Linked DNA regions of Tamandua tetradactyla. The protein of the gene in region 2 interacts with the protein of the main gene of each other region in a pairwise test. Links are inferred from orthologs where the notes say so. Each region holds a gene or a part of one and is shown on either strand. Other genes may lie near its edges.

Region 1 (7,689 bases), on a different chromosome or scaffold from region 2:
TCAACCAATCAGCATTGATTGCGTGCTTACCATGTGCCAGGCATTGTGATAAATGCATTATATACAGACCAAAGTGAGGGTTACAATTATTATCCCCATTTTACAGATAAGACAATTGAACAAAGCTATATAGTGTAGAGCTGATTTCAATAACTACCACTCTTTACTACTGTACTATACATTACATAACCTATTTCAAAACTATAGTTAAAATTAAATATGAAAGTTAATTTGAAACAACCTGTTCTGTAATTGTTTTCCCCTTTTCAATTCTTTTTAATTAACACACACTCAGTATCTTATAAAAATATTTAAATATGTATAGAAGTTAAACAGCCCATGCCTCCTCCTTCTCAATGACCCTCTCATTTCCTCCAGCATATCATGCATTATAATATTAACTTGGCTTTCATTGTGCCACAGAATCAATGCTACTAATTTTTATATTTCATTAACAAATAAATGGAAGCCCCAGACATTATGAGATGGTTCCATGTATCTCCTGGGAATTGAGAGGGAGTTCCAAAACAATATGCCAGGATGCAGCCATGCATCTAAAGATGAAAAAAAAATGGCTAAAGCCAAGATTCAAAAAATCTCAGAGCCAAGATTCAAAAGTGGGACTCTGGAGCAAAGCTTTAAGAAGATTTCAAGTTTGAATATGTAAAAAGGAAGGAAAAGCCCCACCTGGATTTGGGGATGCATGGAAAAGCAGATCAGAAACCGTGGTCTTGCATTCGGATAAGAAACAAGACTGACAATCTGATGACTCGGAGGAGAGAAGGATAAAGCATTTTACTCAAGGTTTTTTTTAACAGTTTGTAGCCCGGGACTTAGCCATATAAAAAATTCAGGGAGCTACAACACTTTAAATTGGATGTTCACTAAATTTTTTTCTGCATGTTTGAAAATGCTCCCAATAAAATAGTAAGGAAATAAATACTACCAGAGAGTTATTAGGGAACTGACCAACATTAGAGTTGAGTTTGGGGTGTGGCTTTATGTAATTCCTTGCAAAGAAAAAGCAGGCTCCTTATACACATGTAGCAATAATATAATGGAAGCAGCTATTATATATTAAGCATTTACCTTGAGGTCTAGATACATCGTCTTATTTAATATTTAGAAGAAAGTTATAAGATAAGCACCTTTATAACCATTTTCAGAAAACTGAGGCAGAGAGAGGCTTAGAAATGTGCCTAAAATCACCCAGCTAATAAAGGACAAAGACAGGATTTGAATCCACGACATACTCAGATACAGCTTATACTCAACATGGACCCTCACATTCTTTCTTGTCCTAAGGCCACTGTGCGATCAGAGCGCAACAGAGCTGCCCCAAACTCATAAAACTGCTGAACATATTCTGGGATTCCCTCAACACCTTTAGGAAGATTCCTGAAAATGTGAAAGCAATCAAACTTTATGATTAAAAACAGGACTCTGTGGTCTAACAAAACTGGGTTTGAATCCTGGCTCTGCCACTTAGTCATATCACCTAACAAGCTGGTTTCCCCATCTGTGCAGGGCAAGTCATGATATACTCACCTCAGAAGGTTGTTGTGGGGATTAAATGGGATGCCGCATTTAAAGTTCTTAGCACAGGACCTGGTAGGCAAATGGTAATCTGCCATAAAAGCCATAATTTTCAGCTTTTAGGAAATAGAGACTCTCAGCCCAGATGTCATGACAGAGGACCAAAGCCTAAAAAGTTGAAACACAGAGAAATGACCCAGGAGAGGGAGAAGGAGAAAAGAAAAAAAGGATGCAGATGAGGTAGAAGAGAAGAAGAAACAGAAGGAGGAAGGAAGGAGAGATGGGGAGAGAAAGAAAAAGTGAGAGAGAGTGAAAGCAAGAGAGAGAGAGGAAGGAAGGAAGGAAGGAAGGAAGGAAGGGGAGAAAGAGGGAAGAGGGAGGGGGAGGAAGGAAGGAAAGGAGGGAAGGAGGGAGGGAAGAAAGAAGGAAGAAAGAAGGAAGGAAAAAAGAAAGGAAAGGAAAGAAGAGGAGAGGTAGAAAACCCTACCTCTTCCATCCCAGCAGGTGAAGAACTAAGACGTTGATTTGATTTGATTTGATTTGATTTCAATTTGAACCCATCATAACCAGAATAGAGCTGAGCCATTGTGGAAAGATTTCTCAATTCATAATTCCAAGTATGAATAAAGCACACACTTGCACACACAGTTTTCTTCCAGGTGAGACGGGAAAGAAGCACATTCACAATACTTTGGCTCAACACAGCTCTGAGATTGGTGCCCAGGAGGAGCGCTGGGCACATTTACCTGGAGCCAAGGCAGGAAGCCGCAGGCTCCTTGAGAAGGGCGAGCGAGCCTTTCCCAGCTTGGCCGGAGGCACCGTGCAAGCAATGCAAGGGCAGGGGCAGAGGGAAACCCGCCGGATTTGCAGGGAGGGCTGGTGATCTCACGGCCCCACGACTGCCTCTGCACTTTGAGGGCAGGAGTTTCAACTGTTGTGTCCTATCAATTAAAAACAAAAATCCTTCGTTTTGTGTTTGGGAAATGCTGGCACCGAAAATCTGTAGAGCAGACCGGCAAATACAACCGGTCTGCTTCAGCACTGCATTCTAGGATTGTAACCAAACCCAAGACTTCAATTGAGTCGAGGGAGAAAGAAGGGTGCGCACAGGGTTAACCTCCCCCTCTCAGTCTCCCGCCCTCCACCTCTAACCCTTCCCGACTCAGAAGAGGGGAAAGAAACCCTGGGAATTTCAGGTGTGCCCTGAACCTCACGTTGGGGAAAAGCAGAGCGGAAGTCCAGCGGACACTCCCCCCCTCTCCAGGGACGTGGGCGCTTTCTAGGATGGTCCTACGGCGCGAGCCCCTAAGCTCATTCCGGCGGAGAAAGGAGCCTGCTCTCGGCTGCGGGAAAGACAGACCCAGGCTCCCGGCTTAACAAGACTAGCGATTTTCTGAGCCTCCCCTGCGAAGCCCAGCCTGAAGGGTCCCCCTTTTGTTCGCGGGGACAGCGCGTCGCTGTGCAGTGCTGCGCATCCCACCCCCCACCCCCTCCCGGATAAAAGCGCCGCTGTGGGGGCGCCTCCTAGGGTTTGCTCCCGCTGTCCCCCGTGCTCCGACGACCACCGGCTCGAGCGCACCTCTCTCCAACTGTGTCCCCGCCCAAGTACTCACTTCTCCCCAGTCCCTCGGCTTTCCACGCCGTCTCCTCCACCGCCCCATAGCGCCTCAGAGGCTTCTCAGCTTCCAAATGGGTGGACAGGGATGGCTTTAACTCCATCGCTGATCCGCGCGAGGAGGTCGACGCGCCTCCCTTTACTCCATCCCCGCCGCGGGCTGCAGGGAGGGAGGTGGCTCCAGCCAGCAGCGTTTTAAGGGGCCGGGCGCTCGTGACGCGGCTCCATCTCTTCCGCTGGCAGGGCCAGGGAGCGCCGACTGGTACCCAGGAGGGGGGAGGGATGCAGGGAGCATGCGCAGTGAAGACTTAGGGGGGCAAGGCTTGGGGGCTGGGTAGGGAGAAAGAGGGGAGGTTGAGAACTCTTAAGACCAACAACAGAAGCAACTAAAATAAAACCATCCCAAAGAGAGCAAGAAAAGTCCTCTGATCATCCTGGAGAACCTCACAGAGATTCGTGCTGGTGGAGGCTCTGCATGAGGGTGACGGCGCTGGGGACTAGTTATCTGTCAGCGGGCTGCTGGGCATTGAGTGGGATTTGTGAGCGCGTCTCTGCCTGTGGGCAATGGATCCATCTTTGTGGGGAGTGTGCGTACAGAAGCGTGAGTGCGGACCTGGATCCGTGGGTTCTGTGCTTGAATGAGTGTGCTTCTTTGATGACCTCTGTCGTTTGCATCCGTGGGTATAAGCTGGATGCGAAACTGGATGTGAAATCCAGTCCTGTCTGGGAATACCTGTGTCGATTCTGTGTGAGTTTCTGTGAACTTGAAAGAGAGATGAAAATATTTTGGACTCAGGTGCTCACGGCTATGTGGAGCGTGGGATCTTTACTTTTCAAAAAACCCAGAGTTATATCTTACTAGAAAAGCATGGCAGCATTAAAAATACAGAGCGAAATATTTAGTAAAAGTCAGAACCATGATTGATAAAAATTAGTTTGTTATTTGTCGTTGTTTTTTTTTTAAGATGCTACCTGGGACAATTCTGGTATCTGCATGGTTTGTGAAGTATAAAATGACCAGTTCTTTAAGAAAACGGATTAGTAACTGGTAACAAAAGCCTCTAGAAAGTTATCACCAGTAATGGGCTTCTAACCAGCTCATGGGAGGAGAAGGAAATGACAATGAAAATCAAAAATTATTTAGAACTGGGTGGGCCATGGTGGCTCAGCAGGCAGAGTTCTCGCCTGCCATGCCAGAGACCCGGGTTTGATTCCTGGTGCCTGCCCATGCGAAAAAAAAAAAAAATTATTTAGACCTGGATAACAATGAAAGTATCACATACCCAAACTTGTAAATTTTGATGTAAGTAAATGTATGGCATTAAATGCACTCATTTAGAAATGTAAGACTAAAAATAAATAGATTAAACCTTCAACTCAAGTAACTTGAGAAAAAAATAGCAGTGAAACCTAAGCAAAGTAAGAAAAAAAAAGAAATAATGAAAATAAGAGCATAAACTAATGAAATAGAAAAATCAAAACGCAATAGGGGGTGCACTGGTAGTTCAGTGGTTAGAATGCTGGCCTTCTATGTGGGAGACCCCAGCTGGATTCCCAGAACATGCACCCACCCACCCACCCCACCCCTGCCCCAAAAAAGGCGGGCAATAGTGGTTCAGTGGCAGAATTCTCACTTGCCACGCCAGAGACTCAGGTTTGATTACCAGCGCCTTTTGCCTATGCAAAAAAAAAAAAAAAAAAAAGCAATAGGGATATCAATAAAATCAAAATCTAATTCCTTGGAGGGAAAAAACAAACAAAATAGGCACACATGAGTACTATGAAGAGTGGAAAAGGAAACAGATTACAATTTTATTAAGTTTTAAACTGAGTTAAAATGGATAATTTTCTAAAAATATATCTAAATGTATTTAAGAAATAAGAAACCAAATCAATAACCATTTCAAACATTAAATTTTAATAGAAAAAATTATTTTCATTTTCATTCTCACAGAGACAACAGGCCAGACAGTTTTATGGATGAATTTTATGAAATAATAGTTAATGCTTACTTTATAAACATTGTTTATGAGGATAGTATAATCTTGATACCAAAAGTAGATAAAAAGCAGCAGTAAAAAATTTCTTGACCATATGTATCTAAATATTTTTTCTTAGCTAACTAAAAACAGACGGACACTTTCTAACCTTCTAGGGAGTAACTATCAAATGTCTATGGCAAATGTATTTACTGTTGACGCTCTACTAACACCTCCATTAAGTCAGGAACAAGAAAAGGATGTGAACAATTTCCACTTCTGAGGGGCTCTATCCTAATTAAACCTGAAAAAGAAACATGGTATAAGAATTAAAACAGAAGAAATAAAACTTTCCTTTTCAGACAATGTACTCATCTACATTAAAATGCAAGCAAATTCACAGATAAGCTACTAAAATTAATAAGAGCAGGGTTTTGGAAATAAAATAAACACATAAGAATAGTAGTATTTTTGTACAACTAACTTTATCAATCAAACATACAAATATAATCATAATAGCAAAGAAAGACCTTTGAGGAGAAAAAGATTATTTTATGTCTCCTGGAGCAATTATTTATTTATTCACTTATTTATTTTCATGTTGCTTTGTTAAGCAACATTTTAAGAAGTGAAGAAAATGGAGATATAGATATACCATATTCACGGGTGTATCATAAAGATGGCAGTTCTCCTCAGTGCAATTCCAGTGGAAACTTCAATACAGAAAAGGAGTTTTAAAAGATGTTGACAAGCTGATTCAAAAATTAAAAGGAAGAGCAAAGGACCAGAAAAAGGTAAGCCAGTGTTGAAGTATATAAATAGAGTAGGAAGAACTTAACTGTCAGATATCAAAACCCATTATAAAGGCTTAAGACATAAGAATAAACTTGAGAGCCCTCAAATAGATCCACGCATATTTGGAAAGTTGATATATGACAAAGTGAGGCACTACAAAGCAGTATAGATTTTTAACCTTATACTTCCTATCATGTATGCACCCATACATACACACACACAAATTCCAGATGGATCAAAGATCTACATGTAGAAGTTAAAATTTGAAAATGTTGTAAGATGATATGGGAGAATACCTTCATACTTTAAAATAGAAAAATATGTTAATTGAGACACAAAAAACATGAACCTTACCAAAAAAATACTAAGTTTAACTACATTAAAATTAGAATATTTCAGTTCAATGCAACTCACTATAAACAAAGTAAAAACAAACCAGGAAGAAATACTGTAATTAACAATATTGGCAAAAGATTAGTATCCAGTATATATTTTTAATAAACTCTACATTAATAAGAAAATTAAATCCCAGTAGAAAAATGGGCAAAGGATTAATAGCAAGTACATGTTTCTTTTTAATTCTGCGTATTAATAAGAAAATGACATCCCAGTAAAAAAAAAAAATGGGCAAAGGATAAAAATAGTTCATAGGGAGGAAAAAGTTTAATATGAAAAGATTCTTAATCTCATTAATAAAAAGAGAAATGAAAATTTAAACAAGGACATAGCATCAGATAGGCAAAAATGTCTAATAATTATATGTGCTGTCATCTCATCTGAACCTTCATATCATGCTAATGAGCAAATAAATTGATATAACTTCTTTTAAGAGTAGGTTGGCACTCCCTAATCAAGTTGAAGATGTGTAATTCTACTTCTAGGTATATACCCCAAAGAAACTCCTGCCATGTATGCAAAGAAATGGGCACAAGAACTTTCAATGCAGCAATGTTTGTAGCTGCAGAAAATTGGGAGCATCTTTTATGCTCCATTGATGGGAAAATTGATATATTGTGGTAAATTCATATAATAGACTCCTATACATCAATATACAAACCAGAACTACATAAGTCAATATGGATACTTCTTGGAAGCATAATGAGAGGGAAAAAAGGTCATTAGTGAAACGATAGGTATAGTATGATATCACACATAAGCTTTTGAAATCTACAAAATAATGCTATTATTGTCCATTAATCTATATGCGTATACATGAGTATAAATAACATACTCAAGATGATAGCAACCTCTGGGGAGGCAGAGGAAAAAGATTGGGGAAGGGTAAATAGTTTATTTCAGCTGTACCTAAAATTTACATTTATTTTTTCTCAAACTTTTTACTTTGAAAATTTCAAACCTACAGAAAAGTTGCAATAACAGCATTATAAATACCCATAATTCTTTCAGTAGATTTGCAAGCAGATATCTAAACTTTATAGTTCTTAAAAGAAATCTGAAGCGAAAATGTTAAGATTTCTTACAGATGTGTGATGGGCATTTTACTCATAGCACAGTGACTAAAATTTTAAAAGCTAACCCTACCAAGTGATGGTGAGGATATGAAGAAATCAAAACAACCATTCACTGCTATTAGGTGTATAAAATAGTACAACCACTTTAGAAAACTGTTGGGTGATATCCTATAAAACTAAATATATGTGTATCCTATTACACAGCAATTCCAGCCCTGGGTATTATTCCAAGAGAAATAAATGCTTTTGTCCAGCAACGTCATAGCAATTTTATTCATAATAACCCAAAATG
Region 2 (8,250 bases):
GCTAATCACCACAGTTTACCAAAACCATTCCCGTTACCCTAAAGAATACCCAGGGCTCTAACTGAGATTCTACCAAAGTTTCACACACTAAGATTACTTTCCAGAAACCCACAGCCTCCAGATGGTTCCTAGGCCAGATGAGTCCTGAAACCCAGAGGGGCCAGCCTCTCCAAGAACATCAACTAGTTCCCTCCCCCATCCCATATTATCGACACCCCTTTCCAACATGATAAGGTAGAATGGGCACAACCCAAATATCCCTAAAGATTGGGAGAAGGATCAAAGGGGAAGAAACAAAGAAGATAGGGCTTAACAAATGAGTATAATTGCTGAATCATTATACTGATATTTCTTTTGGTCTCCAGTGTCTTGGAGCAACTAGAAGGAAAAACCTGAAATTACTGAACTGCAACCCACACTAAACTCTGAAATCTATTCTATAAGTACTTGTTACAGTGAACTTTGAAATTTATTGCATTTTTGTACGTACATCATATTTCATGATAAAAAATGTTTTAAAAATTTGCATATATAATCTAAGTAAAAATGTACCCTCAAAACTAGTCCCCCGAGGCTCACTTAAAAGACTGCCACTTCTGGGCGGGCCACGGTGGCTCAGCGGGCAAAGTGCTTGCCTGCTATGCCGGAGGACCTCGGTTCGATTCCCGGCCCCAGCCCATGTAACAAAAACGGAGAAACAGAATACAATAAAAACAAGAAAATGTTTAAAGATGTTTCCCTTTCTTCCTTCCTTCCTTCCTTCTATCCTTCCTTCCTTCTCTCTGTCTTTCCTTTAAAAAAAAAAAAAAAAAAAAAAGACTGCCACTTCTAACCTGGGCTTCATAGGAATTCTGTCATCAACATGATGGGAAATACAAGATGCTCTTAATACTACAAAATAAAATACTTACAGGGCACCAAGCAGTGGCACTGTGCAGTTTTCAAAGTACTTCCACCAGACTCTCCTGCTCTCTATTTTATCCACTCACCCCTGGGAGTCAAGACAGTTTGTCCTATCCTCATTTTTTCAGCTACTCAAAGAAATTAAAGTGACTATCCAAAAGCAGTGTTGGTGACAACTCTGGGCCTAAAACCTTAGCTTATTGATCTCTCCACTGTCGTGCACTCCAGTAATAGTAAGCTCAGTTTTTGTGGAGGGTTTTTTTTTTCTGGTAGATTTTTTTCCCCCATCATGAATGGTGGCATTAGATTGTGGCACCAGGTTCCAAAAATCCATTTCATGCCAAGTCTTTCGGGTAGAAAAAACATTTTGAAAATACAGAATCAAATATGCCCCCCTGGTGTTAGTACATACATTTAGCCATAAGTACTTATTGACTAAAGGGTTTCCAGCCAATTACCTAGTGTTCAAAAAGTGGCAGGCCATGCAATTCTGCAAATAGAAATATGTAATCTATTAGTCAAAAAATCCACTCACGAGGAAGCACTATTTATAGTTTAAGTGCCAGAGCTTGATTTTTTCTTCTTTTATAATTCATCTTTCTCAAAATATTAAATTTAGATTACTTCGCATATTACAGGCTCTTCACTTAAATATGCTCTTAATTCCTCTACATAATTCTGTATGATTTAACCATCATTTCAATTCTCTTACTATTTATTGCATGCAGCTCTTCTAATATTAGTACATATCATTTTAGACATAAATAGGGCACTGCCTGCCAAAAAATCTTGCTACTGTATGATAATTGAAAGTCATGATTATTTCTTAGATAAATTAAGTTATACAAATGAGCTACATTTCGCTTTTCTCAAATTACTTAATATTTTTCAACAAAGGCCTATAATTTTAGAGTATGCAGATCATGTCACATTTCAGGTTTTCAAATTCGATCTGCTTATGAATCTGCTAATTGTAAAAATTTCAACATGGCAGAGTGAAAAATATTTCACACAAGTGCAAATAGAGATGTCACGCAGATAGCTGCAAGACATGAATCATTCTCCTTCTGCCTCAAACTCTGAAATTCAGAGGCAGTTCGCGCTGCAGATTTCTTGCTCAGTTCTTGAAACTTCAGATGCATCACCTTTTAATCAGAGTAATAAACTATAATTGCTAACATACTGTGTAATGTTTACTGCTAAACCTACAATCTGGACAAACAGAAAATTATGCTGTCAAAGCCTGGAAACAACTGCAGTCCGTTGTTACACATGGCACCCTGCTTATAGAGCGGTCGTGGGGAGTCAGAATGTTTTGTGCTCTTAATTTTTTAAGAGTAAGGGTCTTTTCCCCGAGAAGAAAGTCTTAAGAAGCAAGCCGCCTCCTGCGTGACCTTCCCCACACAGACCTTGAGTGAGTGACTGTGGGGGCAGAGAGCCGTGAATTTTCAACAAGGGACTTGACAGCTCCACTGGGTCCCTCACACTTTGCTTTCAGGAACAACAACAAAAAAGAATGCTACTCTGCACCTGCCTCCCCCAACCCTCTCCTTAAAACTTAAAATACGTTTACCCCTAATGGTCTGAAAGGCCATTGAATCTATTCTGTCCTGTGATGCCAAGAGAAAATAACCCCCATCGAGGAGCAGCGCCTGCAATGAGGGGTGAGAACGGGGTAAGGGGAGAGCAAGGTGAGGGGAGAAGAGAATGAATGAGGGAAGCGGGAGGTTGGCAAGGATGGTGCTCTCTCTCCCCACTGCGCTGCATTTTCTCCACCACGTGTAATGATCACGCAAGTGGCACTCCACCAAAGGCCAGGGTCTGTGTCCTCTGCATCCCTAACGAGGACCCTCAGCCTCCTCCCCGACTCGGGGACCCTCCGCCACCCGCAGCCCGGGCCGCTTGGCGCCCCAGGTACGGAGCTCCGGCTCCTCACAGCCGCACCCGCGGGCGGACTCCGGGACAGGAGCAGAGCCGCAGAGCCCCGGCTCCCAGTTGCGGGCCTTTCCCGAGATACCTTTTATCCAGGCAGGCGATCCACTCGGCAGAGGAGGAAGAATGGGCAGCGTGCGCAGCGACCATGTTGGGCAGCGGTGCGCCGTGTCCCCCAGCTGCGGCGACCTCCCGCTCGCTCTGCCTCGGCTCCGCCTCGCGGACCCCGCTCCTCCCTGCCCGCCCCGCCACCAGCGCGGCTGCAACGGGCCCGCCCTCCCCGCGGGCTCCCACGGCCTGCGGGGCAGGGGGCCCGGCGAGGGAGGGGCCTGGAGGGGCGGGACGCGGGGCCGAGCAGGGCCCGAGCCGCCCGCGGGCTGCACTGCGGCGCGCGAGGTGAGAAGTCCCTCAGGCCCGCCCGCCGGAGGTGGGGGTGAGACCCCAGGTAGCCGGCCACCTGCGACAGGTGGCCAAGGCGTCCCCGGGAGACCTGGGTCCCACCCCTCACTTAGGCGCCTCAGAAGCAGGGAAGGAGGGAGAGCGGCACGGGTGTACGGGGGGAGGGGTTGGGGAGGGTGTTGGCAGTGTCTATATATTTTTCATACAGCAAAAGCCACTAAAATGGCTGCTGCTTCTCTGTTTCCTTAGAAACCCATTAGTCTTCTTTAGCAGCTGTCAAAACTTGCTGGCAATCTCTTGCTCACCTTTCATGTCTCCCCTTAAAAAGTGATGGAAGGTAAGAAAGAGTAGTGCAGTGTGAGGATGGGAACACACACACAGTGGTTTCTGGAATTCAGAAGACAGTTTCTCCTGAGAGGTGAGGAAGGGCTGGGACAGAGGGGAACCGTCTGAGGCAGGGAGGGAAGGCCGTTGGGCCAGAATGGGCTGAAAAGAAAAAGTGACCAGTGGTGGCTAAGGGAATGAAAAACTGAAGTCACTAATGATGATCTTAGCAGGGCTTGAAATCACCTGCCTGATGAAAAGAAATGCAATTAAAAATGTGTAGTGGGGCAGCAAGCAGAAATGAGATTTAGAAATGTAGGGGCCACGATCCCAAGGAACTTGGGTTAACTGGGACGGTTGGCCCCACACGCCATTCTCTCCGGAACTGGAGTTGTTGAATGGGTTGTCATAACAATCTGTCTACTGTGGATGTTCACAAGTGTTATATGTAGAAGTTATTCAGTTACACTCTGCCAGAAATTAAATTATTTGCTGGAATTTGGAGACAATTTAAATCTTTTGGCATACTACTAAGCAAGGTTTCGATATCTGTGGTGTGAGTTTGGGAACAGACAATGGGGACACAAAAAGCCTTACTTTCCTTGCTTCTTCTCTCCTATCCATTCCTTCACTACCTTGCTGGGAGGAGACTGCAGATGCTTTCTGGGATGCTTTTATCCTAATAAAACTACTGTGATATTAAAGACCTCCAAAGAATTTGTCAGTTCCCCTCCTTTGGATAGCTAGGATCTGGTTTCAGACCTGCCATAGTGTTCCCTCAGCAGCAAGTGCCTGCTGCTCCTGCCAGCTCCGGTTGATCTCCATCCTGTTTATTTCTATAAGGTTAATTGCATACAAATATTATACTATATAAAGATTAACAGATGTATATATATTGCTGCTTTTTTATGATATAGGTATGGAAGAAGGAAATGAGGCTCCTAGATTTATTAGGTTTAAGTTATAAAGGCATCAGAGAACTACTGAGGATGTTTCAAGGTCGCCAGGTACTTTCTCAAAATGCCTTTACTCAGAGAACATTTAGAGGTAAGGAGCTAGAGGAGAAGGGAACGGCACCATGTCTGTCATTACACAGAGGCTCAGAGGTGCTGTTGTTTTCAGCATCCACTGAGTGTCAGATGCTATGCAGAGTTCTTTACATGTGTTATCTCATTTAATCTTTACAACATTCTATGAGGCAGAGCCAGAAGGACAGGTGCCCAAGCCACTACTCCACGAAGAGAGATAAACATCTTTGAAAATGTAATGTGATTGGGAAATTATATTTGTCAGTACTCAGAGAGGGCGCTGACTGGTGTAGAAGAAAGCAGCTGATAAGCTGCTTGGGGGTGAGACGTGCGTGTTAAGGAGAGTGGGAGGCCTTTGTTTTGCTGCATGGGACCCTGCTTTTCCTCTAAATAGAATTTGAAGAATTATCTAAAAAATATCCTTTCAAAGGAACACCAACAATTATTAGCTAACCCAGAGCATATAAACATATCCATCCAGCTCTAGTAACTCCAAAATACTCACTAGCACACTGTAACTCAAGAAGGCGTTGATAACTTGCCCCTGATAACCCAGTTTGAGCTGGGGGCCCTGAATTAGATTTTAGATCTGATTTCAGTCCTTGCACCTCATTCTGTCAGTAGAATGACTGCCTGATTGATAAGAACAAAATTCACCTGTATTGAAAGAGTCAGTTATTTTTGGTTATGAATCAGTTGTTTTTGTGTAGGAAGAGGGAAGTTTGTGAGGAACAAAAGATAAAAAGAGGTCCTTGAAATATCAGGAATAGCTTTACTGTTCTACACATTATTTTTGTGACCTGAAAGGGATTTGATTGTTGGTCAAGAGCTACGGACGAATGAGAAGTTGATGATTAGTTATCTTATTATAAGGAGCAGGAAAATATGGGATTTTGTTTGGTTTGCATGGGAAAGGCAAAGAAACAAAGAATATTTTTTTCCTTTCTTTAAAGAACATAAATTAGGCCAGACCAAAAAGACAATATATTATATGATCCATTTATATGAAATGCAGAAAAAGTCAATTTATAGTGAAAGAAAGTAGAATGATTGCCTGTGTCTGGCAGGTGGGAACGGGGAATGACTGCAGATGGGCCCAAGGGATCTTTTTGGGTTGGTGGAAATGTTCTAAAATTAGATAGTGGTGATGGTTTCAGAACTCTGTAAATTTAATAAAAATCATTTAAATTGTACATTTAAAATGAGTAAATTTTTTGTATGTAAATTATAGCTCAATAAAGCTGTAAAAAAGTAAATAATTATAACAATAAAACACACATTGCTTTTTTGGGGGGGAAATAAAGTTTAGGAGAGAGTAAAAATTACCCATCATCATTCCACCACCTAGAGATAACATCGTTAATATTTTAGTGCATTTCATTCCGAGCATTTCTATTTTAAAAATATGCAATCATACACATAAATACATACATGTAACTAGCTGTTTACTTTCAATCATGTATATGTGTATATGTATATAGATAGTTGTATGTATACAGACTGGAAAGCATTAGTTATTTTATAGGCTACTTTTTCTACTTGGAAAACAAAAATGCTTGGCATGTTTAAAAAACTCTTCATTAAAAAGTTTTACTGGCTACAAAATATTCTAAAGTATGGATATAATTTACCCATCTTTTGACATGTTTTTTTTTTCCAATGACAAAATATATTTTTCACTAATCTCCTTCCAATCGTTTAGTGAGTTCTCTCTTTCTATAAGAAAGCTAAAGAGCTCCAGTGGGTGAAGACAAGGAGTCACAAACCCCAGGCCTGCAAATGCCACTTATTACCAGCTGTAGACCTTGAATGAGTCATTCAATGTCTGAGTTTTATGTTGTGCATTGAGTAGAGGTTCAAAGTCCGGAATTTGGAGATTAGCAGCCATGTTCGAATTGCAGCTCCGTCTCTTACTAAGTGTGTGACCTTAAGTGGATTTCTTGGACTGTTTCATCAGCTGCAAGTGTAGAAATTAATAGTATGATACATGAACATGATGCTGGTAGGACACTTAGCCTAAGAGCTAGCACATAGTGAATGTTCAAGAACACAGCTCTTACCATCATTATTCTCGGTACACTACAGATAAAGAGTAACTGCCTTCTGTATTTCACAGGGATCTGGTGGGAATCAGTTGAGATCACTTATACTAAAGGGTCTTGACACCTGTAAATTGCAAGTTTCAGTTGCATATGGTACAAAGGATTAATGTCCCTGAGAAACACTAAAGCTTTTCAGAGACACTTTTAGACTTTCACAGTCTTTTCTCCATTTGCTCTAACTCTGCCATTCTTCGTATGAAAACTAAAAGCACATAATGGTGGGTTGTTACTGCAATGTATAGAACAGCAGCACAGTGATTGAAGTAGGAGAGGGTCCTACATTTTCCTGTCATAGCATCCTGACCAGTGCTATCGTAGATTGGACATTCCAGTTTTCTATGTATGGGGAGAACCGTCACAATGTTCTGGTACCTCATTGGAAGCTGAGTTATAAGAACCATCTATAACTCCCACTGGTGATAGAACCAACTCACTGAACAAGCAGTACTCCTAGAGTGAGATCTTCAAGGCAATTTTTAATGTTTTTTCTCACTACCACTTTAAACTTGTTCGGTGCGGGTAATTCTATTCCTGCAGCTGAATATAGCAGTTTTTGGTCCCTTATAGGTAACAAAAAGTGCTAGCTAGGGTCTTTCTCTTAGAATGTCTGGACCAATATCTTCCTGAATACTTCAGTCTTTCTTCTAAGATCATTCTTTCTTCCTCTCCCCAACCACAGCTGGTCACAGGCATGTCTCTGACTTTTGGAAAGAAGTGTGGTCAGCTTCTTGTCCTCTTGTTCACCTCTGCCAGGATCCGAGGAAAGAAAAGGAAAGAGGGAAAGTCCATACTTGACTGTGAAGCAGTAAGCTGGCTTCACATTTACCAGGCCTGGCAGATGTGTTAAGCAGGTGCTGGCACATATTCCCTGGCTGCCGCCCTGCTAGGCCTCTATTTGTGGGCAGTGCCACCCTTTTGGCTCCCTGCTCCCCATTCAAACTTGACATTCCTGAAGTCCCTTGCATGCTGACTCCCTCTGTGGGAGTCCCAATTTACCCAATTCCCCACCCCAGTTGTCTTTTTGGGTGGGATTTAAAGGGGCTGGTTTTCTCTTGCATGTCCTGCATCTGGTCAATGGACACACTCTTGCCTACTTTTGCCCATTAAACTCTGAAGGTGCAGGCCAGTTCCAACAAAGCAGCATGCCATCCTCTTTCTCTTGCCTAAGAAACTCACCAATCCCTCTCTCTTGATCTTTAAGGATCTTGGGCTGAAATCAGACACCAGTCCTCTGTGCCCCAGACCACAAGGTAACTTCTCAAGTGGCAGGCCCAATTGAAGCCCTTCTTTCCTTTCCCTTGGTGGTGGGAATCAGTCCAGCTCTCACCAAAGAGATACTTCTTGCAAAATCCTCCTTCAGTTTTCTCTTCCTGGACAATTCTTCCTTTGGGTGTGGAATTTTTTTTTTTTTTCCGGGGAGTGATGTTTTTGGTAATTTGATTCAAAGTCTGCATCCTGACATCTCACTTTGCAATTTTGTATCTATTCTATTGTGGTTCCTCAGATAAAAGTTTCCATTTAACATCTGCGACTTAGGTTAGTGAAAACTGAATCAAGTGAAC

The links.
Region 1: the proteins of RAPGEF4 (region 2) and BMERB1 interact in binary tests that used the Homo sapiens proteins (3 or more experiments, as listed by UniProt). The link is inferred for Tamandua tetradactyla from reciprocal best matches to the Homo sapiens genes RAPGEF4 and BMERB1.

What each region holds. Positions count from the first base shown.
Region 1 is NC_135349.1:37,583,098-37,590,786, reverse strand, and holds the start of BMERB1 (bMERB domain-containing protein 1), read right to left. Parts: upstream 3,306-7,689; 5' UTR 3,256-3,305; coding exon 3,150-3,255; intron 1-3,149.
Region 2 is NC_135329.1:144,543,669-144,551,918, reverse strand, and holds the start of RAPGEF4 (rap guanine nucleotide exchange factor 4), read right to left. Parts: upstream 3,021-8,250; 5' UTR 2,986-3,020; coding exon 2,921-2,985; intron 1-2,920.